Linked DNA regions of Cricetulus griseus. The protein of the gene in region 1 interacts with the protein of each later gene in a pairwise test. Links are inferred from orthologs where the notes say so. Each region holds a gene or a part of one and is shown in the gene's direction. Other genes may lie near its edges. The genes, in order: Fate1, Slc7a1, Syngr1, Bnip3, Timmdc1, Slc38a1 and Gpr25.

Region 1 (4,231 bases):
CCTTTATTTCTAAGTACCCTGTCCTTAATCTTAAATTTTGAAGTTAGAACATTTTTGAAATGTATAAGTTGGATTAATTTAGCAGCATTTATAATCAAATGTATTTTAGCAGCAGTAAGTCTTTCCTTGGCAATCAAACAATTTAAAGAGAACAATATGGCATATAGTATCCAGATTCTCTGTGTATTTTCCGTCTTTATGTGGCTTTTTTATTACTTTATTTTTACTATCTTTCGTTTATTTTTTCTGAGACAGGGTTTCTCTGTGGAAATCTGCCTGCCTCTGCTTCCTTCAGCAAATCCTACCGGCGTGAGCCACCACACCCAGCTACTCTATTTCCTCCTGTTATTTTTTCTCTCACAAGCCTACATATATTTTTAAATGCAGTGTAAACCTTTAGAGGTTTTTCTTTATCTGGATCTGTCTGTATCATCTTGGGAGTGCTGAGTCCAAGGCCCAAGAGCGCCGGGACGGCGTGAGCCTATGGAAGCTGTTCCAATGCCTCTCAGCACCCTGACAGGGCAGGCTGTGGTGGCAGGTTTCCCTCATTCTCTGGGAACCTTGGGGCATGGGGTCATCCCACTCACTGACCCATTCCTTAAGGTTTGCACTTGATTCTTTCAGCACATTGGTTGAGTACAAGCACCTGACTGGGAGGAAGCCATTTTATTTAAAGTCCATTAGGGATAATAATCACAGCTGCAGTATACCTTTGCAGAAATACTGAGAGTTGAGTGTCTGATAAACTCACTGGGGATCAGAACCTGACTAAATTGACACATACATCTGGTCTAATCTGTAGAAAAACTGAGGCAGAGCTGAAACATACAGCAGGGTACACAAGCCCAGCATGTCCCTCTTGCCCCTCCCTGCTTCCTTCCCAGGATTCATATCAGACAAGGCCATCTACTTTGCTTGAAGACTCTGCATTGGAGGAGGCAGGATGTTCTGTACAGAGAAGCTCCTCTGATAGAGTGCTGTACCCTAGATTACTGGCCAGTCATGGGCTTGTAGAAACCATGATAAGCATGGGACCTGTCACTGCTTTGGGCACTTATGGATGCTTGGGCCGTATGCCAGCCCTTGTCTCTTTCTAGACCATGATGGAGGATGGGATCCTCCTACCCGTGAGTAGCAAAATCAAGGGGAGATGAATCAGGGCAGCTCACAAAAACAGTACCACTTAGAGCACTATCTCATCTCCAAGTTGCTTACACAGCAGAAGAGAAGGCGGCCACGAGACCCACCAACAAGATACAGTGGGAACTCAAGGTGCCAATCCAAGGCCTGAGCACAGAGAGGGAGAACTGGCTCCACCCTCTTGTGCCAGTATATCTCCCTCACATTTCTACCCCTGGAAGAGGCGAGCTTCCAAGTGTCTTCTCTGTGCCATCCACCCTGAACAACCTTACAAATGAATACCTGGTGGTGATGGCAGAAAGCCCTTCCAATGTCAAAGAAGGGTATAAAATGTCCATTTCTGAAGATCTAGGGACTGGAAACTTTGACCAAAGCCAAGAACAACCAGTGATGTCAGGTGAGAATCCCCTAAAAAGCCTGTTGGGTATAGTTAATCATGTGCGTTTACTTGTGCTGCTTCTACAACATCCCAGTCATTGTGCATGCTGTTTACTTAGTCTGGAAGGTTATTCGTTTGTTTTAGGTATTTCAGTGTTGATTTATGCTTTTCTTTTGCCATATTAGCTTGTTTTGGTTTTTAATCATTCATGAACCATTTACATATCTGAATTTACATGGATGGAAGATTTTATTATTGGTATTTCCTATTCTCTCATACATAGAGATGGTTTGTGTTTGGGATTTCATCTCTTGATCATTGCTCATGCTACAGAATCCTAGGCCCAGGGCCAGATTTTCAGTAAATACATACTGACCTGTTGAACAGATGGACAAATAGGCTGAGCATCAGAAGTGAATGGGTATTGAGTGATTTCTGCTGTTTTCAGTACCCAGAAAGTTCTGGTAAAACCTTTAAAGCAGTATTCATAGCAGTCTCTGTTCTTCTTTCTAGAAATGATGGAACGTGGGTCCCGGTCACTGGGAGGAATCCAAAGACGTCCAAGGGCAGAGCAAAAACCTGCTGGATCTGGTTCAGGCCAGTCATTTTGGAATGTGACTGGACCTCGTCCCAAGAAAGGGGTATTGACAAATGGTGGCTAGTTTAGGGTGGGAAGTTCTTACTTTGGGGCTCCTGTATTCCCATGGTAGATATAGCTAGAAGTTGATCATTAGGAGGAGGAAGCTTCCATATACCAATAAAGCAAATGAATGAAGGGTAGATCATTGGAAGGTTAGGGTTGTACTGTATAATGCTGGGACTTCAATGCTAGAAGTCTGCATGCCTAGCAAACATGTTGACTGGAAAATGCATCTATAGTTGACCCTCTACATTCCTAGGTCTTGCATCCATTGGCTCAATCGATCACAGATGGACACTGTCTGTGGGTGGAGGTGGAGTGATTACATCTCTAGAGAATACATGCAAGATGTTTTTCTTGCAATGATTATCTACACAATATAGTATAAGAATTACTTAGATGGCATTTACATTTTATTAGACATTATAAATAATATAGTAATTATTTCAATTATATAAAAAGATATGATTATGCTATATTCTAATATTATGACCTTTTACACAAGCAACTTGGGAATCTGCAGAGCTGCATAACCATAGTGAGGCGTTTATTCTAGAAACAGTCTCCATGGATACCAAGGGATGACTATACAATTCTTTATAAACTTCCAAGGTGTGAAATGATGTTTTCTTTTAAATTACTTAAAATCATCTTGAAGGTTTACATTCATCTTCAGTAGGTAGCTTGGGTTTTCAAGGGATGCCTGCATGTAAAAGTTCTACCAAAAGACAGAGAAGCCTGTCACTGCATTTTCCTTGGCACAGCACACAAGGCTAGAAGCTACCAATAGGCATGGTGTGTGTGTGGGGGGGGGCACAGGAAGATGAAATGACATCATGGGGCTCCTATGGGGTGTACTGTTGATTCATGCACAATGCGGTGCTAAAAGGGTGACTTGGAATGGTGTATCCTTTCTTTCTGTAGGGTCATCAGGTGCAGATGCCCCGGATGCCAAGAGATCACAGTCAGGTGGATGGCTATCTCCAGGAGTTTCCTGGCAACTTCCAAACAGGGAGGGTCCCTTATGAGCGGTAAGAGTTCAATTGTCTTGTTCCTAGCTACTGGGGGAGGAACAAGCAGAGGGTAGGGCCATAGGGACTAGTGAGCATCCGAGTCGAGAAGCAGATGTATATACTTGAAGTATTGGGATACTATTGCCTCCTGGCCATTTGGGATCTACGTATGCTTTGGCAAAGCCTCCGGCTTCTTTACTACACAAGGGAAGGACTGGGATCTTTATCCAAAAAGCCTTCAGGCATACCTTATTGCTCTGTGTCTTTTCTATGGCCACCAACACCTCTGAGCCATGTAACCTTTCCTTCCAACAGTCTGGAGGCAGATTTAGTGGCAGAGATTGGCCTGGAAGAACTCAATGGGCTGGAGATGGAAGTCATGAGAAGGCAGGTAAGCATCTGTTGTATAGTTGGAGGAAGCATCATAGTGCTTTGGAGTGGGTGATTTTGGCAGTTGTGAACAAAGCCACCCCCGAGTTTTCATAGCCTTTGTCCAAATCATATCCTGTAGCAAATGAAGTGAGGTTGGGCTCTCCTTTCTGTTCTTCTCAGGCCTCATGCCTTGAGTACCTCATGTTGATGTTCACCCTTGACTTTCCTTTATGCTGGAGATGCTGGACAGGAATTGGGGAAGAGAAAAGGATGTGGAAGGGGGAACAAAGATTCATTTTGGTTTTGGTCATATTTTCCCCCTACCCTTATGTCTTGCCTTTCTCATAAGAGTGATTCCTGCTCACAAGTCCTGTGTTTGGTCCTTCCACAGATGCAAGTGATTTCTGGGCGGCTGCGTGCCCTTGAGGACCAGGATGCCACGTGGCGCCATAAGGAGGCTGTGCTCTTTAGTTTGCTGGTCTCAGTCTGCATAGCCAACCTGTGGCTTTGGATGCGTCAGTAAAGTTTCACAAACACCACAACCCCATTAGAGCCATTCCTTTCTTTCGTCTTCCCTTTGCTTTCAAGGATGCCCTTATCCACGCCATTCTATCTCCCAGCAGCCCCCCAGGTAGCAGTTGGGTCATTTTACCCCTCTGCTTGGGCCTTCTGCCTGGAGATACGCTC
Region 2 (3,983 bases), on another chromosome or scaffold:
CAAGTTCTCATTGGATGCTGAAGGCAAAGCTGGCAGGCTCTGATAGATTAGAGGCTCTCCCTCTGTGAAGACTGGGATACCCTTTACAGTGAGATCCGCTGATAAAGGCTTCCAAAAGTTCAGGAGACCTCCTTACAAGATCGGCATACCGGTCATATCATTTCATCACTGCGTGATTTTTCCATTCGCTGTTTTAAAACAACGTGTGTTTGGTGCCTTATTATAATTCCAAACACTGCTCAAAGTGTTCCTATGTCATCGACCTCCCTCTATGTGTTCATTAAAACTGTCTGCTGGGAAGTATAAATTAATAAATCATTGGTTAATTCCACAGGAATATCATATCTGTGGCTGACAATGACCCCCATTATTGATAAAGGACGCTTAAGAACACACATATCATCCTTTTCTCTTTTTTTTCCTACGAAGACTGCGAGGCCATGGCGGTATTTATATGGTCTGTTCCCCTCACCCCATGTCCCATGATTATTGGGCCTTTATGTATATGCATCTAATTTTTAAAAGCTTTTTTTTGTGTATTTGTGTTTTGTCTGCATATGTCCGTGCATCATATGCTTGAGTTACAGACAGTTGTGAGCCACCATATGGGTCCTGGGAATTGAACTGGAAAAGCAGTCCGCGCTCTTGACCACTGAACCATCTCTTCAGCCCCATAGACTGTAGTTCTTGATTTTGGAGCAGAGATCTGAAGGAGTCTGGGAGGCGAAGAAGAGATTTGGGTACTAAGCCTGGGGTGAGTCCCTCCAGGGTGAGCTGCCACCACTGGCCCTAGCGAGGAAGTACCATATCAAAGGGAGGGGTTTTGGGGCCTTTCCTGACAAGGGCGAGGCTGAGGCGTTAACTAGGGCATTATTGTAAAGAAGTCCAACGACAAAAGATTTACAACCAAGTCCTAAAATTTCTTTAAAGTGTGTCTCTCATCCAGTTTGGAGCATGAAACCTGGTAAGGTTAGTTGTCAATGGCTCTCCATGTGGGGGTTGGCACAGCTCAGCCTCTGTTACCCACCAACTCTGGCCCAAGCAGGCTTGAAGCTTCTGGGGACCAAGGACAAGCGACAGGGAAAGCCCGGTTTCGGGTGTCCCCGCCCACAGGGGCGCGGCCGCGCGGCGCTGTCATTGGTGGCCGAGAAGGTGACGCGCAACACTGGCCGTGGCCGCGGGGCCCGCGGAGGGCGGCGCGCGGCTGATGAAACCGGCTCGGATCCCTCCCGCGCGCGCCATCCCCTCCTCCAGCAGGTGTGAGCGGTTCTTTACCAGCGGTCCCCACCCAGCTCAGCATCCCGTTGCCTTCTCGGTGAGTACGCGACTCGGGTGAATGTCCAGAAAGCTCTAAAAGCCTGGGTCACCTCTCTGTGTGTGGGAACCCAGGGTCTGGCGTGGCCGCTCAAGCGAGGCGAGGGTTCTTCTTTACCTCTCCATCTCCGGGGATACGTGCGTGGGACGCACACCCGTGTTCCGGTCACCTCTTCCGAGTCCATCTTGGTCCTTTGCAGGCACGGCATGGTGCATGATGCAACAGCGAGGGGGTGTGAGCACGGGTGACCCGGGTACTCTTGCCACGCGTGGCCGTGAAGGGCTCCACGTGGGCGCGGGGACTCGTCTACGCTGACTGCCTCCGGTGGCATCCGGAGCCGCCACTGCCTGGGAGATCTTCCCTTACATGGCGCGGTGCGCGGCACCCCGCCCCGCCACGCGGTCCCGGGCAGTGTCGTCAGCCGAGCCGCGAGCAGGGTGGACTCCATCAGGTCCCCAGGCCGGTCCCCTGTGAACGGAGACTTGGGATTCCCGCTCTCGGGGTCGCTTCCGTAGTCCCCAGAGATGACTTTGGAGGGACTCTTCGGGTGGGTTTTCCTTGTGACCTGATTCGGCCTGCACAGACTGTTCTTCCAGATGGTGTGGAGTGGGAGGAAGTTCTTCCGGCTCCATAGACAACCTGTGCTCAGCGTGTTCCTCTCTGCGTAGTGGAAGACTTCCTGGGCACGGGTAGGTCACCATCCACGCTTGTCCGCAGAGCAGCCTGGTGCCAGTATCGCTCTCTCCAGTCCACTTCCTGGCGTGTTGAGATAGCCTGACATGTGCCGTCAGGAAAACAAAACAAAACAAAACAAAAAAACTGCATTTCCCAGCACCCACGGTTATACTTTCACGTGCTGGAGGACAGGGCTGGGATTTCAAACATAGGTATATTTTCCCTAAAGGTGAGTAAAGTTGCACTAGAACCCCGAACATTATTTCTATTTGCATATCCTAGCTGTGATGGAGTCAGTTTGTAATTTACTTGGGATTTTTTTTTTTAACATTTCTTGCCATTCATATGTGGTTAAGATAATAGGAAACCACGATACAGTCATCCCCCTGTTATTTTTAGTTGGTCTCAATGGAAATTATTATTTTTATGTGAGCACGCCCTTTTGTCAACAAAACCGAAGGGCTTAAGTCATGTGACCCAAATAGAAATTTAGGGGAAAGCCAACATGTGGATTGAAACAGCTTTGAAAAGTTTAGCATTTTGAGATCATGTTTTATCTAAGGCTGAAATTTAGAGGGCATATAAGGGGGGCTTAAATAAACAAACAGAACAAGAGTTAAATAGAAAACAGAGACACCTCAGTGGCTGGTTTTAGATTTATCTATTTATTAAAGGTCTGAAAACAATCCTAATTCCATTAGGGATTTCTCTTCTAAGATACATGGTCATCTCTCCACCCCCACCTCACCCTGTACCCCACTGCCACGCACCCCCTTCATATAGGCCAGACTGGTCTTAAACTTGCTACTTAGCAAAAGATGACCTTGAGCTTCTGATCCTCTTGCCTCCCTCTACCTCCCAAATGCTGGGATTGCAGGCATTCACCCCCAGATCCAACCCAGGGTCTCCTGCATACCAGGCAGGCACTTCACCAACCAAGCTACACCCCCAGCTCAGATAGTATTTAAAAATTTAAAACAGCTTTCATTTATTATTCTTGTGTGTGTGTGTGTGTGTGTGTGTGTGTGTGTGCATGCGTGTGAGTGTGTGCGCGTGCGCAAGCTGCACATGTGCACGTGTGTGCCACTGTACATGTGGAGCCCATTCTTTTTTACCTTTATGTGGGGCTTGGGGATCGAACTTGGGTTGCAGGCTTGCATAGCAGACACATGGCAAGCTGGGTTATTTTGTAGGCCACAGATCACATTTTCTGATGTATTTAAGTCTATTTATTGGTGTTTAAGTCTGTTCTCTTTTTACTAAGCCCTGTAAAAACAAGTAACAGCATGGTTGTGAGATGCCCAGTGAACTGCACCTTCCTCCTTACTAACCATGGAGATAGAGGTGTCTATTAACACTAGGGAGAAGTGGGAAGAAGGAAGTCCTTGTTAGGGAAAGAAATGTCCAGTAACCCTGGGGACATCTAGACATCTGTGCCGTCTCACCCACAGGCATCACCTGTAATGTCATTTCACCTAGTTCTTAGTCACCACTCCAGGCAGGACCTGTAGTTAACACCTTAGTGAGTGGCTCTCAATCTTCCTACTGCTGCCACCTTTTAATACAGTTCCTCATGTGGTGACCTCCAACCATAAAATTATTTTTGTTGCTACTTCATAACTGTAATTTTGCTACTGTTATGAATTGCACTGTAAATATCTGATATGCAGAATATTTGACACAAGACAGGGTCCTTTGACCCCAGGGATCCTGACCCACAGGTTGAGAACCAGTGCCCTTGTTTTTGTTTATTGTTTTCTTTTTTTGGTCTTTTGAACCACATGTGAGGCTGGGGAGGTGGGGAGTGGGTGTGGGAGGGTGGTGTGTGTGTTTGGGACTAATACTAGGGCCTCTAACATGCTAAACATATGTTAGCTACTCCATCACCGAGTTGCACCCCTGGCCTATTGCCTGGATGAATTTTAGCAGTAGATCAGGTAAGATTGGCTTAGCATTTCTGTGTGAGGAGAGGGCAAGTGCTGCCCTGAGGGGA
Region 3 (3,971 bases), on another chromosome or scaffold:
ATCATAGTATAATCGTTGCCTCAAAGATTTCTCATTAGGCTGGAGAGATGGCTCAGAGGTTAAGAGCAGTGACTGTTCTTCCAGAGGTCCTGAGTTCAATTCCCAGTAACCACATGGTGTCTCACAACCATCTGTAATGAGATCTTGTGACCTCTTCTGGCATGCAGGCATACATGAAGGCAGAATACTGTATACATAATAAATAAATAAATTCTTTAAAAAAAAAAAAGATTTCTCTATACCATTACAGAGGGGTATAGTAACACAGACCTGAAACACCATAGTTGGGAAGAAGCAGGAGGATTGGAAGTTCAAAATCAACTCCCTCCATATGGCATGATGAGTTCCAGAAGCCAGCCTAGACTACAAGAGATTGTTTCAAAAATAAACAAACAAACCCTGGAGCCCTTAGGTCAAACTGTGTTGGGATTTGGGGGGTGGGGTGGGAGAGGGAGGATGACATGAGGACTAGGCTGTATTTATTGACCACCAACTGTTTGTGAGGCCTTGGATATAGCAAACAATACCTAACTTGACCAGCTGGAGTCCACAGACAAGCAGAGAGACAGTAATAAGAAATAAAATACATAATTAACTACTGGATTAAGGAAAGAGGCACAAGGACCTGTGGTGGAGAGGGAATGGAATCTCACAAGGTCTGTGGTGTTCCGTCCCCCCCAGCCTTTGCCTTTCTTACAGGTCCCTCCAGATGGGGGTGCGCATGCATGACGTCATCGGTGGAGCGAGGAGGCAAGGTGATTCTGGGGGCCAGAGGCTCTGCAGGTCCCTTAGAGGGGATCATTCCTGAAACCAGCGATTCAGCAGCTCGTTCAATGAGCCACGTACGGTCAAACTAGAGCCCCTTCACTCTATTTGGGACAGACAGCGACAGGAGAGAAGCAAATAAATAAACAAACAAATAACGAAGAGGGTTTCCAGAAGAGCTACAGCTCGGAGGGCTCCCGAAGGCGGGGACGCATCTGCACTCTCTGTCCACACCCCTACTCCGTGCCACTTTGCAGAGGTCATCCCGCTGGCGAGGTGCGCGCCCGGCACCGAGACCCCCACCATAGCACGCGCTCCGAGCTTCGCCTGCCGTGCACGAACGCCCCCTGGCGGAAGCCCCCATCCACACCAGCCGCGCGCAGGAGAGGGGGCGGAGGCGCCGCGCACGCGCACGGGTCGGCGGTGCGCGCCGAGCGGGGGGCGCCGCGCGGTGCAGCCACGATGGAAGGGGGTGCGTACGGAGCGGGCAAAGCCGGGGGCGCCTTCGACCCTTACACCCTGGTGCGGCAGCCACACACTATCCTGCGCGTCGTGTCTTGGGTAAGGACGTAGCAAGGCTGGCTGGGGCTCGGGGTGCCGGAGACCGGCGCGACCTCACCTGGCCGGGACCGGCGGCCCAGCCAGTGCAGGGGATCCCGGCCGCACGCTGCTTTCCCGGCCCCTGCTGCTGAGTTCCTCAGTCCTATCGCCGTGACCTCCAGGCAGTCGCTGCTTTGCAGCTAGCGGCTTGGCTCGCGCGCGTCCGTGGGGACGGAGCCGGGGTTCAAGGCCGCTTTTGGGGGGCGCGGATCAGGGCGTGGATCTTCTCGCTAGGGCGCACCGCCGCACCTGCCGCGCGCGTTCGGGGCGAGGACCTGGAACCAGGTTTTGTTGCTCACCCGGCTCGCTGGAAGCGCTGAGTCTGGAGCAGGATACCAGGGTTTCGCCGAGACCCGCATCTGCTTCGTCGCGTGACCTTGGGCAGGGAACCACCCAAGAAAAATCAGGGAAACGAGGAGGGATTCAGTTCTGAGCTGGGTGGGGAGCGTCACCTCTTCTGTCATGCCTTAGTTTCTCGATTTACAGGGTTGGGAGAGGCCCCCTTGAGCTCTGACATTTTATGAATCGACAATACTCCCACTCCCAACCCCAGCATACTCCTGAGTGGCGCCTAGGTATTGCCTGGAGAAAGGTCCCTTCCACGCAGTGGAGAGCAGGGAGGAGGTCGGTCTGGTCGAAATCTTCTGCCCACCTAGTCGGTGCAGGACCCCCAGAGCTAAGTGGGACTCAGCTCAAACCTGGGGGGTGGGGCAAAAACAGCTTGAAGTGAGGCGGTCTGGGGGCTTTGCACCTGAGGGAGAGGAGGCCTGTGGGCACTGGTGCCCTCTGGGATTGTCTGGCTTCATGGAGGAGGGTTTTGCCTCTGCATATCTGGGGCTCCCTCCTAAAGGGCTAAGACCAGAAGAGCCTGGATTGGTGACACAGGTCAGGGACCCTTGGCCTTTGTGATTAAAGTCAGCTGTGACCTAGGCTTGCTGAGGTGCCTTTCTTGGTTTTCAGGGCCCTGTCAGGATCTGATGGTCTTAGGAAATGTTTAAATGTCCTCCTTATAGGAAGCCTTGTTTCTGGCCATGCAGCCCAGATACATCCATGAGGTTTTGTGACACTGAATTTATTCATTCTTGGCGCTCCCCAAGTTGCAGAAGTCCCTGGAGACCCTGGGTAAAGTGGGAATCCTGGTGGGGTGGGTTGGCTAGGTGCCGCTTCCTCTGACCTCTGGGGCACCTGACTGGGAGGTGGAAGCACAAGCTTTGTGAAGGAGTATGGACTTTTTTTTTTTTTTTTTTTTTGCTTGGGTCATTTCTACCTGAGATGGCTTCATTTAGCAAAGCTTTATTGAGTCTGCCAGGCCCAGAGGGAAGGCAGCATGACTCAGGCTCAGCCCATGATGCTCAGGGAGCCCACAGTCTCACTGGGGAGGGAGCCAGGACAGGGTCTCCCTGCTGTGGAATAGAGGTGCTTCATGGAGATGATGTCATGTTGGGTCTAGTGGGATGCAGAGGGCTTACACTTGTATACATTGGGGTGAAAGGAGGAAATGCTGAGCAGGAGGGAAAAACTAATTAATCTAGCCTAGCACTCACAAGCATTTGAATCCAAAGTCTTGTCACTAAAGACCTGGGTTTCTGGTGCAGGGGAGACTGCAAATCCTGTAGTTTCCAGATTGGAAAGGATGTAAAGGTGATCAAGTTCAATTCCAGCCCAAAGGACTTCATGACGTCACAGCCCGGCTCATGCATCTGGATTCCAAGTGCCTTATACTTTTAGCAAAGGCATGTACTATAGGCTGGAGAAAAATGTTTCTAAAATCTCAGACGTAGAGGCAGGAGGATCAAGAGTTCAAGGCTAGTCTAGGCTACATGAGTCTGTCTAAAAAGAAGTAAAAACATTTTTCCCCCTTATCTGATCATTAAAGTAATGCCTGCTGGTTATTGGAAAGCACAAAAATCATTCATGGTGATTGGACAACATGTTATATATAATACTATTGAAATATACCCTTAGGCTGGGTATTGGTGGCGCACGCCTTTAATCCCAGCACTCGGGAGGCAGAGGCAGGAGGATCTCTGTGAGTTCGAGGCCAGCCTGGTCTACGGAGAGCTAGTTCCAGGATAGGCTCCAAACCACAGAGAAACCCTGTCTCGAAAAACCAAAAAAAAAAAAAAAAAAAAGAAATATACCCTTAGAAAGGATGAAGATGGGCTTGCGCGGGTGTGCTTAGTGGCAGACCACTTGCCCAGCAAGTGTAAGGCCCTTGTCTCCAACCTCAGCCCTGAAGGAAAACAAGGGAAAGAAAGAATGAGAGAGGGTAAATTTCACATCATGCCATGTTCTTTCCATCCCATCTTTTCTAATAGTCTGTGGTATGTAGAGACAGCTTAACAAATTCTGGAGTGGGCCCCCAATGCCCTCTCTCATCAGATATGGGGCCCCAATGCTGTCTCTCATCTACTGTGGGGTCTGGCAGCAGCAGACTTCCCCATGTAGTTAAGGGAGCCTGCGCTCTGTCTGGATCTAAGGGGAGTGATTTGTTTGGGTTTACTGGAACTTTCCTGGCTTATCATAACCCCAGATTCCCAGGTCATTCAATCCTGTACAAGCAGCTGGTACCCAGGACTCCACCACACCACAGCTATGGTCCCAGC
Region 4 (3,500 bases), on another chromosome or scaffold:
ACTCTGCTTGTGGCTGGTGTCTGACATGGGGCATCCTTGTGGGTTTCAGCCTTTAATTTATGGGATTGGATACTAATTTTAGGCGATACTGTCAGAATATAATTGAATTCTTAGACTCCTCTGATTGAATTTGGAAAATTGGTAGTTGGTGTAGGGAAAAGTCTAAATTTGCCATCAGGAGTGGGTGCTGGGAAGAAGATAACACAATCTCAAACTTTGCTAGATACCAGAAAAGATTTGGATAACATTAAGCTTCATAATATACATTGGAACTGGCTCAGATTCTGAATACTAGATCTGCCTAGACAAAAGGAACTGAACTACCCATGGCTGGCTTTGAACTCAGAGCAACATTCCTGCCTTAGTGACTCAGAACTGCAGGGATTCTAGGTATGAGCCACCATCCCTGGCTTCTGAGTATCATCAGCCAGTGAAGGGAGGAAGGCCAGCAAAAGAAATTAGTGTGTCTGGAACTGGAGTGTGGGGATTTGCAGATCTCAGAGGGCACTGGGGCCTCTGCTTGTGTACAGCCACAGAGGGCTCTGGACTCTGCCCTTCTGAGTTGGTATTGTGCTTCATGTGGGCTATGCCTGCTTCTCCATGAGTCAATCTGAGGGCTAATGAGGAAAATTGTGTTTATTTTCAAATTTGTATTGTATAATCATTTTTTAGCTTACTGAGAGGCTGTTGATGGTATAAACTGTAAATCCAATTTATTTCTGAGCTCCCTCCCCTTGTGACCTATTCTGCAACAAGTACACTGGCCAGGTGTTTCTGAGTGTTAAAGCACTTCTTTTTGGGGTTCTGGAAGCTGTATAGTGTTCTTGCTTCCAGCGACCGTGAATGTGTGTTCTGCTTTGGAGACTCACTATGTACCTTTGGCTGACCTGGTACTGGCTCTGTGTAACAGACTGGCCTCAAACTTACTTCTTTCTCTTGAATTCTGGGATTTCAGGTATGCCCCCATCATGCCTGGCTTTTTAAGGGGATATTGTTGGTCACATGTAGCACAGGTCACAGATTTCTTTAAACTGGTAGCTGAAGGTGGCCCTCATCTCTTTTTTTAACATTTATTTATTTAATGTACATTGGTGTTTTGCTTGTATATACTGTGTAAGGGTATCAAATACCCTAGAACCGGAGTTACAGGCAGTTGCGAGCTGCCATGTGGGTGCTGGGAATTGAACTGGGTCTTCATGAAGAGCAGCCAGTGCTCTTAACCTCTGAGCCCCCTGACTCTGAACTCTTAAATCCTCTTCTCTCTATTGGGTTATAGGTACCTGCCACCATGCATAGTTCCTTTTTCTTTTTGGAAATTTGTGGGGGTTTGTGGTTTAGAAACAAAGTCTTGCTTGATGTAGCCCATGTGGCCTTGAACTTGAAGTGATCCTCTTGCCTTTTCTCTCCCTTTTGGTACTGGAGATTGAAACCTAGGGCCTTTTATAATCTCTACCTTTGAGCTATATCTCCAACTCAGATTATAAGTGGATCCATTTCCCTCCTTGCCTCCCTCCCTTGTGTGTGTTGAGACAGGGTTTCTCTGTGTAACAGTCCTGGCTGTCCTGGAATTTGCTTTATAGACCAGGCTGTCTTGGAACTTAGATCCACCTGACTCTGCTATCTGAGTGCTGGGATTAAAGGTATGCCCTATCATTGTCTGGCCCAAGATAGGGACTCTGTAATCCTGGCTTGAACTGTAGTCTTGAACTTGTATAGACCAGGCTAGTCTTGAATTCACAGAGGTCCTCCTACCTCTGCCTCCCAAGCCCTGGGACAAAAGGTGTGTGCCCCCCCCCCCTGGTTTCTCGGATCTTTGTAGCACAAACTTGTAACATGAAATTCTTGGCTAGGCAGGTCCCACTGCCCTTCTCTGCCCCCAAAGAAGCACACGGACACTAGACACTATATTAATTATGAAATTGTTGGCCGTTGGCTAGGGCTTCTTATTGGCTAGCTCTGCCTTAATTACTGACCCATTTCTATTAATCCATGTATTTCCACATGGTCTTTTCTTGCTGGGGATGGACCTGCAACTCCTTTGCCTGCTACATGATGACTGCTTAGCATCTCCACAGAAAGAGAGATATTTCCTGTTTGTCCCTGCTTATATCCGGATTCTGCCCAGCTTTGTCACTTCCTGTCTGGTCAATCAGTGTTTTATTCATTAACTAATAAGAGAAACATACACAGAAGAACATTCCTCATCACAAAATGACCTCAAGGCTGGTGGGTAGATTTCTTTCTTTGTGCGGTTTTTTTTTTTTTTTTTTTTTTTTTTTAAAGAGGGTTTCTCTGAGTAACTTTGTAGATCAGGCCAGCCTTGAACTCACAGAAATCTGCCTGCCTCTGCCTCCCGAGTGCTGGGATTAAAAAGGTGTCTACCATCACCGCTTGACTGAGTAGGTAGATTTCTAACTGCCCTTTTTGTTTTCTTCAGGCTCCTGGGTAGAACTGCACTTCAGCAATGGGAATGGGAGCAGTGTACCAGCCTCCGTCTCTATTTATAATGGTGACATGGAAAAAATACTGCTAGATGCCCAGCATGAATCTGGACGAAGTAGCTCCAAGAGTTCTCACTGTGACAGGTAGGTTTGCTGGATGTCTTCTACAGTGTTGATGTTTCAGCAGATGGATAATAGCAGTTGTGCATGCTTTTGTGGGTGGGCCTCCAGGTCTAAGGCCACATTTGAGAATAACTCTGGAAGCAGCCTTGATATAAGGAACCCTGGAGTCTGCTGGGATGAAGTGGTCTGGGGCTCAGTTTAGAGGGACCATGTTAAACCTAGGGGCAAATAAAAAAGTTCCTTAATATACTGCCTCTGTTTTGAAACTATTCAGTGTGAACACCAAGTCTGGGTAGTTTTGTTCATGACCCCCAGCTGGCTTGTGTTCCTAGGCAGCACTACTAGGGAGTGAATCCAAGGTGTGTGCTGAGAGTCAGTGATCGAAGGTCAGATGTTTCTGAGGGCTATGCAGCAGATCATGCAGGAGGGTGGAGCGTCCCTCAGAACTGTAGCTGGCTCCCTATGCTCATTGTTTGGCCCTGTTCTGGTGTTAGGCACAGGGGAAGAGGCATGCTTCTAAGAGTCCTCTACCTCCCCCATTACTGAGGCAATAGCCCTGCTTGGGATTTATGCTTGCTATGACAGAATTAACATGCTGCTCTGTTTTGTTCGATTCCTAATCAAGTCCACCTCGATCCCAGACACCACAAGATATCAACAGAGCTGAAACAGACAGCCACAGCTTTGGAGAGAAAAACAGCACTCTGGTAAGCCATAGGTAGGAGCATGCTATAAAGTTCAGCATATCATCAGTCTAGTGACTTTTACATGGTATCACACACACACACCTTTGCTCCCCTTTAGATTTTGAGAGTCTCTCATTTAACATGGAGCTTACCAATTTGGCTAGATCACCTGGCAAGTTAGCCCTAGTAATCCTCCTACCTCAGCCTCCCAAGGCTGAGAAGTGTTACACTGTGCTTGGCATTTTACGTG
Region 5 (3,932 bases), on another chromosome or scaffold:
CATTGGCTATGGCTCTTCCAGAGGTCCTGAGTTCCAATTCCCAGCAACCACATGGTGGCTCACAGCCATCTATAGTGCGACCTGATGCCCTCCTCTGTCAGGCAGGTGTATGTGCAGATAGAGCAACATCTACATTAAAAAAAAAAAAAAAAAAAAAGTGTGTGTGTGCAAGAGTCCAGAATTGGGTGTATGGTGCTCTGGAGCTGGAGTACAGATGTTTGTGATATGCCTGGTATGTGCTGGGAATCATGCTGTGGTCTTGTGAAGCCCGGGTTGGCCGGCCTCATATATGACTCAATCGGGTCTTGAATCGTCCTTGGCTTCCTAAAGGTTGAAATTGCAGCGCCGCTTCATCCCGTGAGAGGGCATTCCAATGAAAACTAGACTTCGGAGCACATGTTAGCAGAAAATAACAGGAAATATCAGTACCAGATATTAAACGATAAAAGTTCCAGATGTTATGCCTTCTCGCATATTCTCGCAGTAAGCGTACGAATACTGTAGCGGAACCCACGCTAAGGAAAAAAAAAGATGCCCACAGCTGATGCTTCACAAAGCATCCTCAAATCTTGGAGCTCCTCAGGTGCGCCCTAATGTCGGGGGAAGGGTGGACTGTGCTCGGCCCACCAGAGCAGCGTGGTGGTGCACGGACTTCCACTTGCACTGGATAAACTACCGTCGCCTTCTGTGTGGCCTCTGTGCATCTCTTTTCTTTTCTTTTCTTTTTCGAGACAGGGTTTCTCTGTGTAGCTTTGGAGGCTGTCCTGGCACTTGCTCTGGAGACCAGGCTGGCCTCGAACTCACAGAGATCCACCTGCCTCTGCCTCCCGAGTGCTGGGATTAAAGGCGTGCGCCACCAACGCCCTGCGCCTTTGCGCATTTTAAACGATGCCACCTCACTACAGTCGTGAGCACTTCAGGCGGAACGGAGCCAGGCCCAGTAGACCGCACCGGCGGGGCGGAAACACCTCAGCACCTCACTGAAACGCCACCGCCGCCAACTCAGTTCCGGGGCGCGACTACCCGAAGCGGAAGGGCTTTCAGCCGGGGTCCGGCTGTCGTCCCTCCCCTCGGCCTTTTGCGCGACGAGGGCGGGACTTCCTGTCTCGTGCTTCCGAGTGCCTCCTGCAGCGAGCAGGCTGGCGACCGGAAGTGAGGTTCTGTGTCGCGAGCTCACCTCTGCTCGGCTCCGCAGGTCACCCTCTCCCGCGGCGCTCGCCAGCCCCTGCGTGTCTGTCCCCGGGTGGGAGGGCGCCATGGAGGCGCCGCCGCCCGCGCCCCGCGGCCTGCTTAGCCCGGCCTGGGGTCCTTTCTCCCGAGTCTTTGCTGCGGGTGCTGTGGCTGCGGATTCCCAAGACTTTGCGGAGCACCGGGAGCCGCATCCCTATGTCTCAGAGCCGGGTTCCCCGGAGTCCGGATGGGACCGCCTCCGGCAGCTGTTTGTCAAAGAGTAAACTTGCCTCGGGTGTGTGGGGAGGGTGACTCGGGGGTCCCCGCAGCGGGCCAGTGTCGCTCGCCGAACGTCCTCTCTGCCCTGGAGATAGCCGCCTCCCGTAGCTGCTCGACACGCTGGTTTTTTGAATCAGACTCATTCAAAGTCACGCTCTTAAAATAGCATCGTACTCCCAGTTTTATATATTAGAAAAGTTGAGTCAATCCGGTTATTGTCCTGTAGTGATCACCGGGAACTGTATTTGGAAGTCCACACTAGCATTCTTTGCATATTTCACTTGCTCTCAAGCTTTGGTCTGTCTTGGCCAGTCGTGGCCCAATATACCTCAAGTGGGAGCTGGGGAAGGGCAGAGAGAATTGTCAGTTTATTCTTATTTTGCACAAGGAACTGAACATTGTGACGACTGCTCTCCTTCCCTTCTCTGCTCTTTCCTACCTCTCTGCCCCCGTGTTCTCACCTCCGTTTTTAAAAATTGTGTATGTATATATGTGGTTGGGGGTGTGTGTACGTGAGTGCAGATGCCCTCGGGCCACAGGCATCAGATCCTGGTGAATTTGGGGTCACCTGTAGTTTCAAGTCAGCTGACATGATTCTGGGAACTGAACTCAGGTCCTTCTTAAGATCAGTACGTGATCTTAACTGCAGAGCCACCTCTTCACCCCGCCCCCCCCCATCTTTTTTGAGACAGGGTCTTGCTATGTAACCCTGGCTGTGTATGTAGACCAGTCTGGCCTGGATCCGGAAGCAACATCCCATTCTCAGCCTCCCAGATTCTGGGATCACAGGCCTGAGCCTCTCGGCCCAGCGGCTCTCTTTTGCCCTACTGGGGGATCAAACGTTAAGACCTCTTGAGCCCCAGGAGCTACCCTCCCAGATCTACCTCACTTGCCAGAAACTAGATATTAAAATAAACAATGTGAAGAGCAAATGATTAGCTCTTTGTATTACTTTCACCTAATATCTACCCTCATTTATTACTAGAGAAAGTTTATCATTTCTTGAAGTAATTTACCATACTACACTGTGTTATCAATTGAGTAAATAAGTTGGGCCAGATTTATATGTAATTATTCTATTACTTTTCTTTTTTATTTTGTCTTTTTAAAAATTATATTTCTTTATAATTATATCTCTATATGTGTATGGGTGTTTTGCTTGCATGTCTGCGTGTCCCATGTCTGATAATGTCAGATCTCCTGGAACTGGAGTTACAGACAATGTGAGCTGCTATGTGAATACTAGAAATGGATTCTGGGCCCTCTGCAAGAGCAGCACATGCTCTTAACCTCTGAGCCGTTGCTCCAGCCCCTCATCATCTTTGTTTTAGTACATAATATGTCAGATTTTTCTCAAAGGTCCTTCCAAAAGCTTGTATATTTTTGAATGATCTTCTGTAGTGTATATGAGATTTATTTTAGTTTTTGAGTCCTGGGAGTCTACCTGTGTTGTAAGCCATAATGACCTCTTGTTTCCATGTCTCAGTTGCTACTATGGCCCACAGGAGATAGTCGTTTTGATCATTATTACAAACCACAGAATATTGGAACTAAAGAAAGCTTGAAAAATAATGTTATGCGATTTTTATGCTCTTGTCCATGATGTGAAAGGGAAAACCAGGGTTCAGAGCGATAGATCTGGCTGCATGCTACAAAACAGATCCCAGATTACAACACTGTCCTATGTCTAGTTCCATCCTGTTACTTAGTCCTGTTACCTTTTCGCTATTCTTTAGCTGCTTGGACTGAGTTTGTGACATTTTAGAGTCTTTATTGTTTTTATATTTATTTAATTTTCTTTCTTGGAGGATTTTGAGATGGGGTCTCAGGTAGCCCATGTGTAGGTAAGAATGACCTGATCTTCTGCCTCCACCTTCCAAGTGCTGAGATCACAAGAGTGTACTGCACACTCAGTTTGAGCCTTTACGGCAGTAAAATTGAGGTAAATATTACCATCATTGAACTATTCAAAGGACTAAACAAAGAGGCAAAGTGTGGCTGTATTATACTTCAAGTCCCTTTACATTTTTTTTCTGAGTTTTACAGTAGATCAGTTTTTATGTAGATGAATTTTTAAAGTTCTGTTTAATATAAAATAAAATTTAAATTATAGCCACTTATGAATGTAAATGTAAGGATTTGTTTTCTAGAGTTTTAAGTTTTTTGTACATGAAGGAAGAGTATAGTGATTGAGAATCCCACACTTTCAAAAGAAAGCTAGCAATCTAAATACTGGTGCACATAGGGTCACTGTAAGAGTGCTGTATTGTTTAACTATTTTAAGAGTCTATCCTGGAAACTTCCTGGAAAACTTTGTAGTTTTTATGTATTGAGAGGCATAATTTGAATGAAACAGCTCTTCCTTATTTTAGATTGGCCTGTGCTGCCTATTACATAGTAAATTTTCTCAGTACTTTTTTTTCCCTTTTATGATTTTAAAGCTAGGCATGGAGGCATGTGCCTGCAGTGTCATCACTTGAGGT
Region 6 (3,500 bases), on another chromosome or scaffold:
TATGTCTCTTGAAGAACCTAGGTGAGCAAAGACCTGACCTTTATCTCAGGCTCTCTCTAGTTCCAGATGAATCAGGAACATTAGAAAATGAACACCATCTGAAAAAAAAAGAAAGAAAGAAAATGAACACCTTTGCCTGCCTTCATTAGGATAATGACAAGATAAATCATAAATTGCAATTATTAATGAGGCCTGATCTTAATGTGAGATTAAAGACATGATGTGATTTTCTAAGAAGTCCCTGCACAATGCCAGAGCTGGAAGGACAGCGGTTCTGGGACTGGAATAGACTCTTACTGTTTTCAATAGCATAGCGTACAGGCTGCTGTAAGAAAAGTCCAGAAAATGGAATTCTCCTGTAAAGTTCTGTTCTTTTTTTGTTTCATGGTGTTGGGGATCAGATCCAGGGCTTTGTGCAGGCTACCCAAGTCCTCTACTACTGAGTGACACCCCTACCTACATCCTGTGAATCCAGACACAGGGTCTCCCTAATTCTTAACCTCAGGATCTCTCCACTTTGGCTCCTTTGTAGTGTCTAAAATTCTGATCATTCATACTCAGACATTCCAAATCTGCTAGCAAGGCAGCACAGAGGTGTTACGAATCACACTTCAGTTTAGAGTGTAGCCAGTCTCGGTGACTTCACCCATCAAAGGAAAAAAGAGAGAAATTTAAAGTTAAAAAAAAAAAAGGCAGATGATCTCCAAGTCATCCATTTGGTCTTGACATTTGTTTTTATGCTTATATTTGGAGACAGGCGTGCCTGGAGTTACTGGGATTTCATACACTGAATAATGAGGCCAGATTGCCATCTCCAAACGTTCCGAGATGCACTTTTAAAATCTGGGCTAATTCAAGGCAAATGTTTGGATTGAAGTTCTCTCAAAAATAATTATGAATCGTAGGAGGTTTTGATTATTTTTTTGTCTTAGTTTAGCTAAGATATCTGAGAGCTGCATGGTAGCTATGAAGTTTACAAGTAGATTTTTCTTAACTACTTATTTTTGTGCTCTCTGTATTTCTGTGGGCTTTTCTGACCCTCCAGTTAGTATAGAGAATGGTCCTTTCCCGGAGTGTAAGAATAATGTAGTTCACGGGAGTATATCTGTCATTATGGAGATTGTGGTGACCACCTTTCTAGTATTCCAAGAGGAGTAAGGCCCACAAATGCTCTATTTAGGTGGTTCTCAACCTGTGGGCCACTCACGATCCCTTTGTGGGGGCAGTGCCGAAGAACCCTTCAGGTCACCTAAGATCATTGGAAAGCACAGATATTTACATTATGATTCACAATGGTAGCAAAATGACAGTTACGAAGTAGCAACGCAAATAATTTCATGCTGGAGGAAGGTCCCCACCCCATGAGGAACTATGATAAAGGAAGCCTTAGGAAGGTTGAGAACCACTGCTCTGTTTATTCCTTGAAGCTTACATTGACTTGTGTTGGCCTCTCATTGAGAGAGAGTTTATCAGTAACATTGAGGATTTCCACAGTAGATGCTCAAGAAAGAGCTTCGGTTTAACACTAGAGTGCACCAACACAGAGACATGGTCAAAGCCAGGAGGCTCCTTCCTAGATTCTGAGATCTGTGTCCTAGAATGTGCCAAGGATGTCTGGAATCAAAACACCAAATATGCTTTTACTAAAAGCCCTACTATCACTATTATTATTTTGCCAAATAAAATAGCACTAAAAAATAAAATATCTTGTTTTCTTTTTCTTTTCTTTTTTCTTTTTTTTTTTCTTTTGGTTGTCAGAGACAGGGATTCTCTGTGTAGCTTTTGTACACCAGGCTGGCCGAGAACTCTCAGAGATCTGCCTGCCTCTGCCTCTCAAGTGCTGGGACTAAGGGCATGCGCCACCAACACCCAGCTGATATATCTTGTTTTCATATGGACACATGGTCATATCGTGAAGTCCCAAACATGCTTGAAGTAATATGTACACGTAATTGATACTTTTAATACTAATGATGAATATTAATAATTACATTAATAAAATGCTAATTGATTGTTTTCTTTTTTAAAAGGGTACCTTGGCTACACTAGTGGATTTTCCTTGAGCTGCATGGTTTTTTTCCTAATAGTGGTAAGTTCTGATTGAAGCAATTGCTGTGGTTTTTATGTTCAAAGCTCTGTAATAGTTGTTCATGTTTTGGCTTTAATTCAGTCTCTCTTGATTCTCCTGTGTTTCTCAATACCAGGTTATCTACAAGAAATTTCAAATCTCATGCATGAGTATAGAACAAAACTCAACAATAAGTGCCAATGTCACTGACATGTGTACGCCAAAATACGTCACCTTCAACTCAAAGGTGAGTTTACTTGTTTAAGGGCACTACTCCTTTTGCTTGTTGTAATCACCTGTCTGGAGATACTCATCTCTAAAAGGAGGCACAGCATTGTTCCTCTGTAATTTACAATCCATTCATACCTCTTTAGAAACACACAACACTGTTGTGCATACACTCATGCTCACATAGTCACACCCTTTATCTGGCTTAGGTCAACTTTCATATTCTTGTGACCATCTCTCCAGATAGTTGTCTCCACATTTCTCTTCCTGTGTGGCATGCTGATTGGTGCTCTGATTAATCACGCCCTCAGGCCACTGCTGCTATGTGGAGGTGGCAGAGGAAACACTCCAAAATGGCACTTTAAAGACGTTTGTACTGTTGGGATTTGGTTGGCAGCTTGGAAGACAGTAGTGGCCTATGTAGTCAGTCACACAGGTTGGAATCATCAGGGGGCTTTCAACTGCCATGTAAAAATGATGGTCCTACCTTTGTATCTCGGGTCCCAGTTGGAAGGTGCTTGGTACAGTTAAAGAAGCTATGTGACCTCCCCTTTCTTTCTCTCAGACTTTTTTTTCTTTCTTTCTTTTTTAGGTCTTTTTTTTATATAAAAAGATGGGTTTGAGCTGGGTGTGGTGGTGTACCCCTTTAATCCCACAACTCAGGAGGCAGAGGCAGGGGGATCTTTCTGAGTTTGAGGCCTGCCTGGTCTACAGAGAGAGTTCCATGACAGCCATGGTGCTTACACAGAGAAACTTTGTCTCAAAAAAAAAAAAAAAAATCCCCCAAGAAAATTAACAGATGTCTTTCTTTATTGATTCTAAAAATTCAGCCAAAGTAGTAAGCTGTGGAACTAATTTTTTTTCTAAATGCAATCTTTTTTTTTTTGTTTTATTTGTTTTTTGAGATAGGGTCTCACTATGCAGCCCTGGGTGTCCTGGAGCTTGCCTTGCAGACTAGGCTGGCCTTGAACTCAGTTCCCTTTGGTTCCAGAGTATAGGGATTAAAGGTGTGCATCACCGTGCTCAACTTAGATATCATCTTTCTAAGTGTGCAGTGGGCAAGTCACCTCAGTTATTGATGGATGTCAGAGAATAGCAATGCCCTGCCCTCTGCTGTCATTTGCATTCGGGTTCTGTGTACCTGGCTAGTCCAGCACAAATACAGTGAAGGTGTGCTGGGATACTTGATGCTCACCATGGGAAC
Region 7 (2,769 bases), on another chromosome or scaffold:
CAATGCCTGCCACATGAAGAAGTCACTGTTAATGGAATGGAAAGGAACAAAACTGACAATCCAGTCCCCCCCCCCCCAATTTCCAGGGTTGCTCAATGCATCAGTCACTCATTCTTGGTGACAGCAGAAGTGACTCTGGGAAGGCATTGTTAACATTAGTTCCAACACAGCCTGTCAAGGGATGGATCTGTGTTAAGAATTTGTGTGTAGCTCCTTGAATAGAAAGCACGTCTTCCCTCAGCCACCCTTGCCCCTCCTCTTGCTATCCCATGCAAGTTGACATCTTGCACACCTTTATCCACGAACCTTCTCCTTCCCCTATGTTCACAAGGGGTCTCTGAGTTCCTACCTCACGATTTAGAATAGCAAATCTGTTGTTTTGTTAGGGGCCATTTTGGGTCATCTTTTGTAAGAGGTTAGGCCCCTGTTTGACTTACCAGCAAGGTTTTGAAGGATAGGGACGGAAGAGGGTTAACCCAGGAACCTGGGCCCTTTCCAGCAGGGGACTCCAACTAGGACTTCCCTCTCTAGCGTTAACCCTTCTGCACTGCTCTGAACCAGAGCAGAAGTGCCGCTCCAGGTGACACACCTAGACCTTTTGGTCTAAGAGTTTGCAGGGGAGAGGGGAGGAGGCAATTCTTAATCAGGAATCATTAGAGGCTGCCTCAACCTCTAGGCCTCCTCTGTATGCTACCCAGCAGAACAAATTAGAGACAGAAGATGAGGCATTGTCCTCCTTTAGAAGCCCTTTGTGCCTGGTCTGTCTCCTCCCCTCTAAACACTAGGAAACAAAAGCAACTCCTGGTGAGAACCGAGAACAGGTTAGAGTTCTAGGGCACTCATTGCCCCTTGAACCCCATATTAAACCCCCCCTGGCCCAGATAATAGGCCAAGCACCCAGAAGTGATGAGCCATCAACACTGAGTGGCCACAGGTCTCCCAGCCCTAAGGACATCTCCTCACAGTTACCAGTCCAGCCCCAACTTGGAAGCCACCATTTCCACCACAGAGGTCTGCCCCTCCCGGCCCACACTCTTCTCCCCCTCCACCTTCCTGCTCACCCCTTCACCTCGGCCTGGGGTGGCAGGAAGGGAGGTGCTGGGCACTGGCCGTGAAAAGCAAACTCCCTTCTGCTCAGAGAGAACTGCACTGCTCCAGGGTGCACGCAGGTCCAGTGACCCTAGCCATGCAGTTCACCGAGGCCTGGAGCCACAGCTGGGGCACGACGTCCTGGGACTATTACTACTATTCGGGCTCTGGCTCCCTGGATCCAATAGAGCTTTGCCCGGCCTGGGACCTGCCCTATGGCCACGCCATCATCCCTGCGCTCTACCTGGCGGCCTTCGCCGTGGGTCTGCCAGGCAACGCCTTCGTGGTGTGGCTGCTGAGCGGGCAGCGCGGGCCCCGGCGGCTGGTGGACACCTTCGTGTTGCATCTTGCTACCGCCGACCTGGGCTTTGTGCTCACACTGCCACTGTGGGCCGCGGCGGAGGCCAGGGGCGGCCTCTGGCCCTTCGGCGACGGCCTGTGCAAACTCAGTAGCTTCGCGCTGGCGGCCACACGCTGCGCGGGTGCGCTGCTGCTGGCTGGCATGAGCATGGACCGCTACCTGGCTGTGGGCCGGCCGCTTAGCGCGCGGCCACTGCGGAACCCGTGCTGTGTGCGAGCCGCGTGCTGCGGCGCCTGGACTGCGGCGTTCCTGGCCGCTCTGCCCGCCTTGCTGTACCGCGGGCTGCAGCCCAGCCCCGACGGCGTGGGTAGCCAGTGCGCCGAAGAGCCGTCGGATGCGCTCCAGGGCCTCGGCCTCCTGCTGCTGCTGCTGACCTTGGCGCTGCCGCTGGCTGTCACCCTGGCCTGCTACTGCCGCGTGTCGCGCCGCCTGCCGCGCGTGGGGAGGGCCCGGAGCAATTCGCTGCGCATCATCTTCGCCGTGGAGAGCGTCTTCGTGGGCTCCTGGCTGCCCTTCGGCGTCCTGCGCGCCATCTTCCACCTGGCGCGCCTCCGGGCGCTGCCGCTGCCCTGCGAGCTGCTGCTGGCGCTGCGCTGGGGTCTGGCTATCGCCACCTGCCTGGCTTTTGTCAACAGCTGTGCGAACCCGGTCATCTACCTCCTGCTGGACCGCTCGTTCCGCGCCCGGGCCAGGTTCGGGGTGTGCACGCGCGCCGGGCGCCAGGTGCGCAGGATCAGCTCAGCGTCCTCGCTCTCCAGGGATGACAGCTCGGTGTTCTGGGGTCGGTCCCCAAAGGTGAACTCTGCTTCTGCCTGGTAGCCTGGTGCAGATGAAGCGGCCGGGCCGCGGAGTTCCAGAGAGAGACGAGAGGGGACGGAGCTCCAGAGAGACGAGGGGGACGGTGCTCCCAGATGCGCCCCGGGGACTGTCCATCAGCTTTCTCAGAGCTGGCTGCTAAGACTGGCTGTTCTCGAAGGCAGGCCAATTGGTGTGGGAAGGGTGGGCGTGTTTCCTTAATTTTCCCCAGGGCAAGAAAGGCTGTAAACACCCACCTGGAGAAGAGCTGGTTCTGCTCTAGATGTGAGGGAAGCGGGTTTTCCTCTCTGCTTCATTTAGTAGCTCAACCCAAACTTCCAACCCAGACTCTAAAAGGCCCTTCTTGTCCCTGACTATTCTTGCTCCTGCAAAAGCCTTTGCCCTCTGAGAAATTTTTTTCTCCGTGCCAGTCCTCTAGCAATGCCACCTCAAAAATGTTCGGTAGAATGAGAGGAGTGACAGCTCTCTTCGCTCTGGTCATCTTCGAAGCTGTATTGCCTGAA

Evidence for each region.
Region 2: the proteins of Fate1 (region 1) and Slc7a1 interact in binary tests that used the Homo sapiens proteins (3 or more experiments, as listed by UniProt). The two-hybrid records come from large-scale screens. The link is inferred for Cricetulus griseus from reciprocal best matches to the Homo sapiens genes FATE1 and SLC7A1.
Region 3: the proteins of Fate1 (region 1) and Syngr1 interact in binary tests that used the Homo sapiens proteins (3 or more experiments, as listed by UniProt). The two-hybrid records come from large-scale screens. The link is inferred for Cricetulus griseus from reciprocal best matches to the Homo sapiens genes FATE1 and SYNGR1.
Region 4: the proteins of Fate1 (region 1) and Bnip3 interact in binary tests that used the Homo sapiens proteins (3 or more experiments, as listed by UniProt). The two-hybrid records come from large-scale screens. The link is inferred for Cricetulus griseus from reciprocal best matches to the Homo sapiens genes FATE1 and BNIP3.
Region 5: the proteins of Fate1 (region 1) and Timmdc1 interact in binary tests that used the Homo sapiens proteins (3 or more experiments, as listed by UniProt). The two-hybrid records come from large-scale screens. The link is inferred for Cricetulus griseus from reciprocal best matches to the Homo sapiens genes FATE1 and TIMMDC1.
Region 6: the proteins of Fate1 (region 1) and Slc38a1 interact in binary tests that used the Homo sapiens proteins (3 or more experiments, as listed by UniProt). The two-hybrid records come from large-scale screens. The link is inferred for Cricetulus griseus from reciprocal best matches to the Homo sapiens genes FATE1 and SLC38A1.
Region 7: the proteins of Fate1 (region 1) and Gpr25 interact in binary tests that used the Homo sapiens proteins (3 or more experiments, as listed by UniProt). The two-hybrid records come from large-scale screens. The link is inferred for Cricetulus griseus from reciprocal best matches to the Homo sapiens genes FATE1 and GPR25.

The regions. Positions count from the first base shown.
Region 1 is NC_048604.1:3,690,889-3,695,119, reverse strand, and holds the start of Fate1 (fetal and adult testis-expressed transcript protein), read left to right. Parts: upstream 1-1,431; coding exon 1,432-1,537; intron 1,538-2,032; coding exon 2,033-2,160; intron 2,161-3,083; coding exon 3,084-3,190; intron 3,191-3,487; coding exon 3,488-3,563; intron 3,564-3,935; coding exon 3,936-4,067; 3' UTR 4,068-4,231. UniProt on the Homo sapiens protein: Involved in the regulation of endoplasmic reticulum (ER)-mitochondria coupling. Negatively regulates the ER-mitochondria distance and Ca(2+) transfer from ER to mitochondria possibly implicating it in the regulation of apoptosis.
Region 2 is NC_048597.1:84,248,643-84,252,625, reverse strand, and holds the start of Slc7a1 (high affinity cationic amino acid transporter 1), read left to right. Parts: upstream 1-1,183; 5' UTR 1,184-1,315; intron 1,316-3,983. UniProt on the Homo sapiens protein: High-affinity, low capacity permease involved in the transport of the cationic amino acids (arginine, lysine and ornithine) in non-hepatic tissues.
Region 3 is NC_048595.1:377,245,434-377,249,404, forward strand, and holds the start of Syngr1 (synaptogyrin-1), read left to right. Parts: upstream 1-1,171; 5' UTR 1,172-1,227; coding exon 1,228-1,326; intron 1,327-3,971. UniProt on the Homo sapiens protein: May play a role in regulated exocytosis. Modulates the localization of synaptophysin/SYP into synaptic-like microvesicles and may therefore play a role in synaptic-like microvesicle formation and/or maturation.
Region 4 is NC_048596.1:62,077,188-62,080,687, forward strand, and holds part of Bnip3 (BCL2/adenovirus E1B 19 kDa protein-interacting protein 3), read left to right. Parts: intron 1-2,437; coding exon 2,438-2,585; intron 2,586-3,189; coding exon 3,190-3,271; intron 3,272-3,500. UniProt on the Homo sapiens protein: Apoptosis-inducing protein that can overcome BCL2 suppression. May play a role in repartitioning calcium between the two major intracellular calcium stores in association with BCL2.
Region 5 is NC_048597.1:51,620,900-51,624,831, forward strand, and holds the start of Timmdc1 (complex I assembly factor TIMMDC1, mitochondrial), read left to right. Parts: upstream 1-1,132; 5' UTR 1,133-1,256; coding exon 1,257-1,450; intron 1,451-3,932.
Region 6 is NC_048595.1:393,090,570-393,094,069, reverse strand, and holds part of Slc38a1 (sodium-coupled neutral amino acid transporter 1), read left to right. Parts: coding exon 1-21; intron 22-2,030; coding exon 2,031-2,089; intron 2,090-2,204; coding exon 2,205-2,315; intron 2,316-3,500. UniProt on the Homo sapiens protein: Symporter that cotransports short-chain neutral amino acids and sodium ions from the extraccellular to the intracellular side of the cell membrane. The transport is elctrogenic, pH dependent and driven by the Na(+) electrochemical gradient.
Region 7 is NC_048598.1:53,014,992-53,017,760, forward strand, and holds Gpr25 (probable G-protein coupled receptor 25), read left to right. Parts: upstream 1-1,186; coding exon 1,187-2,269; downstream 2,270-2,769. UniProt on the Homo sapiens protein: Orphan receptor.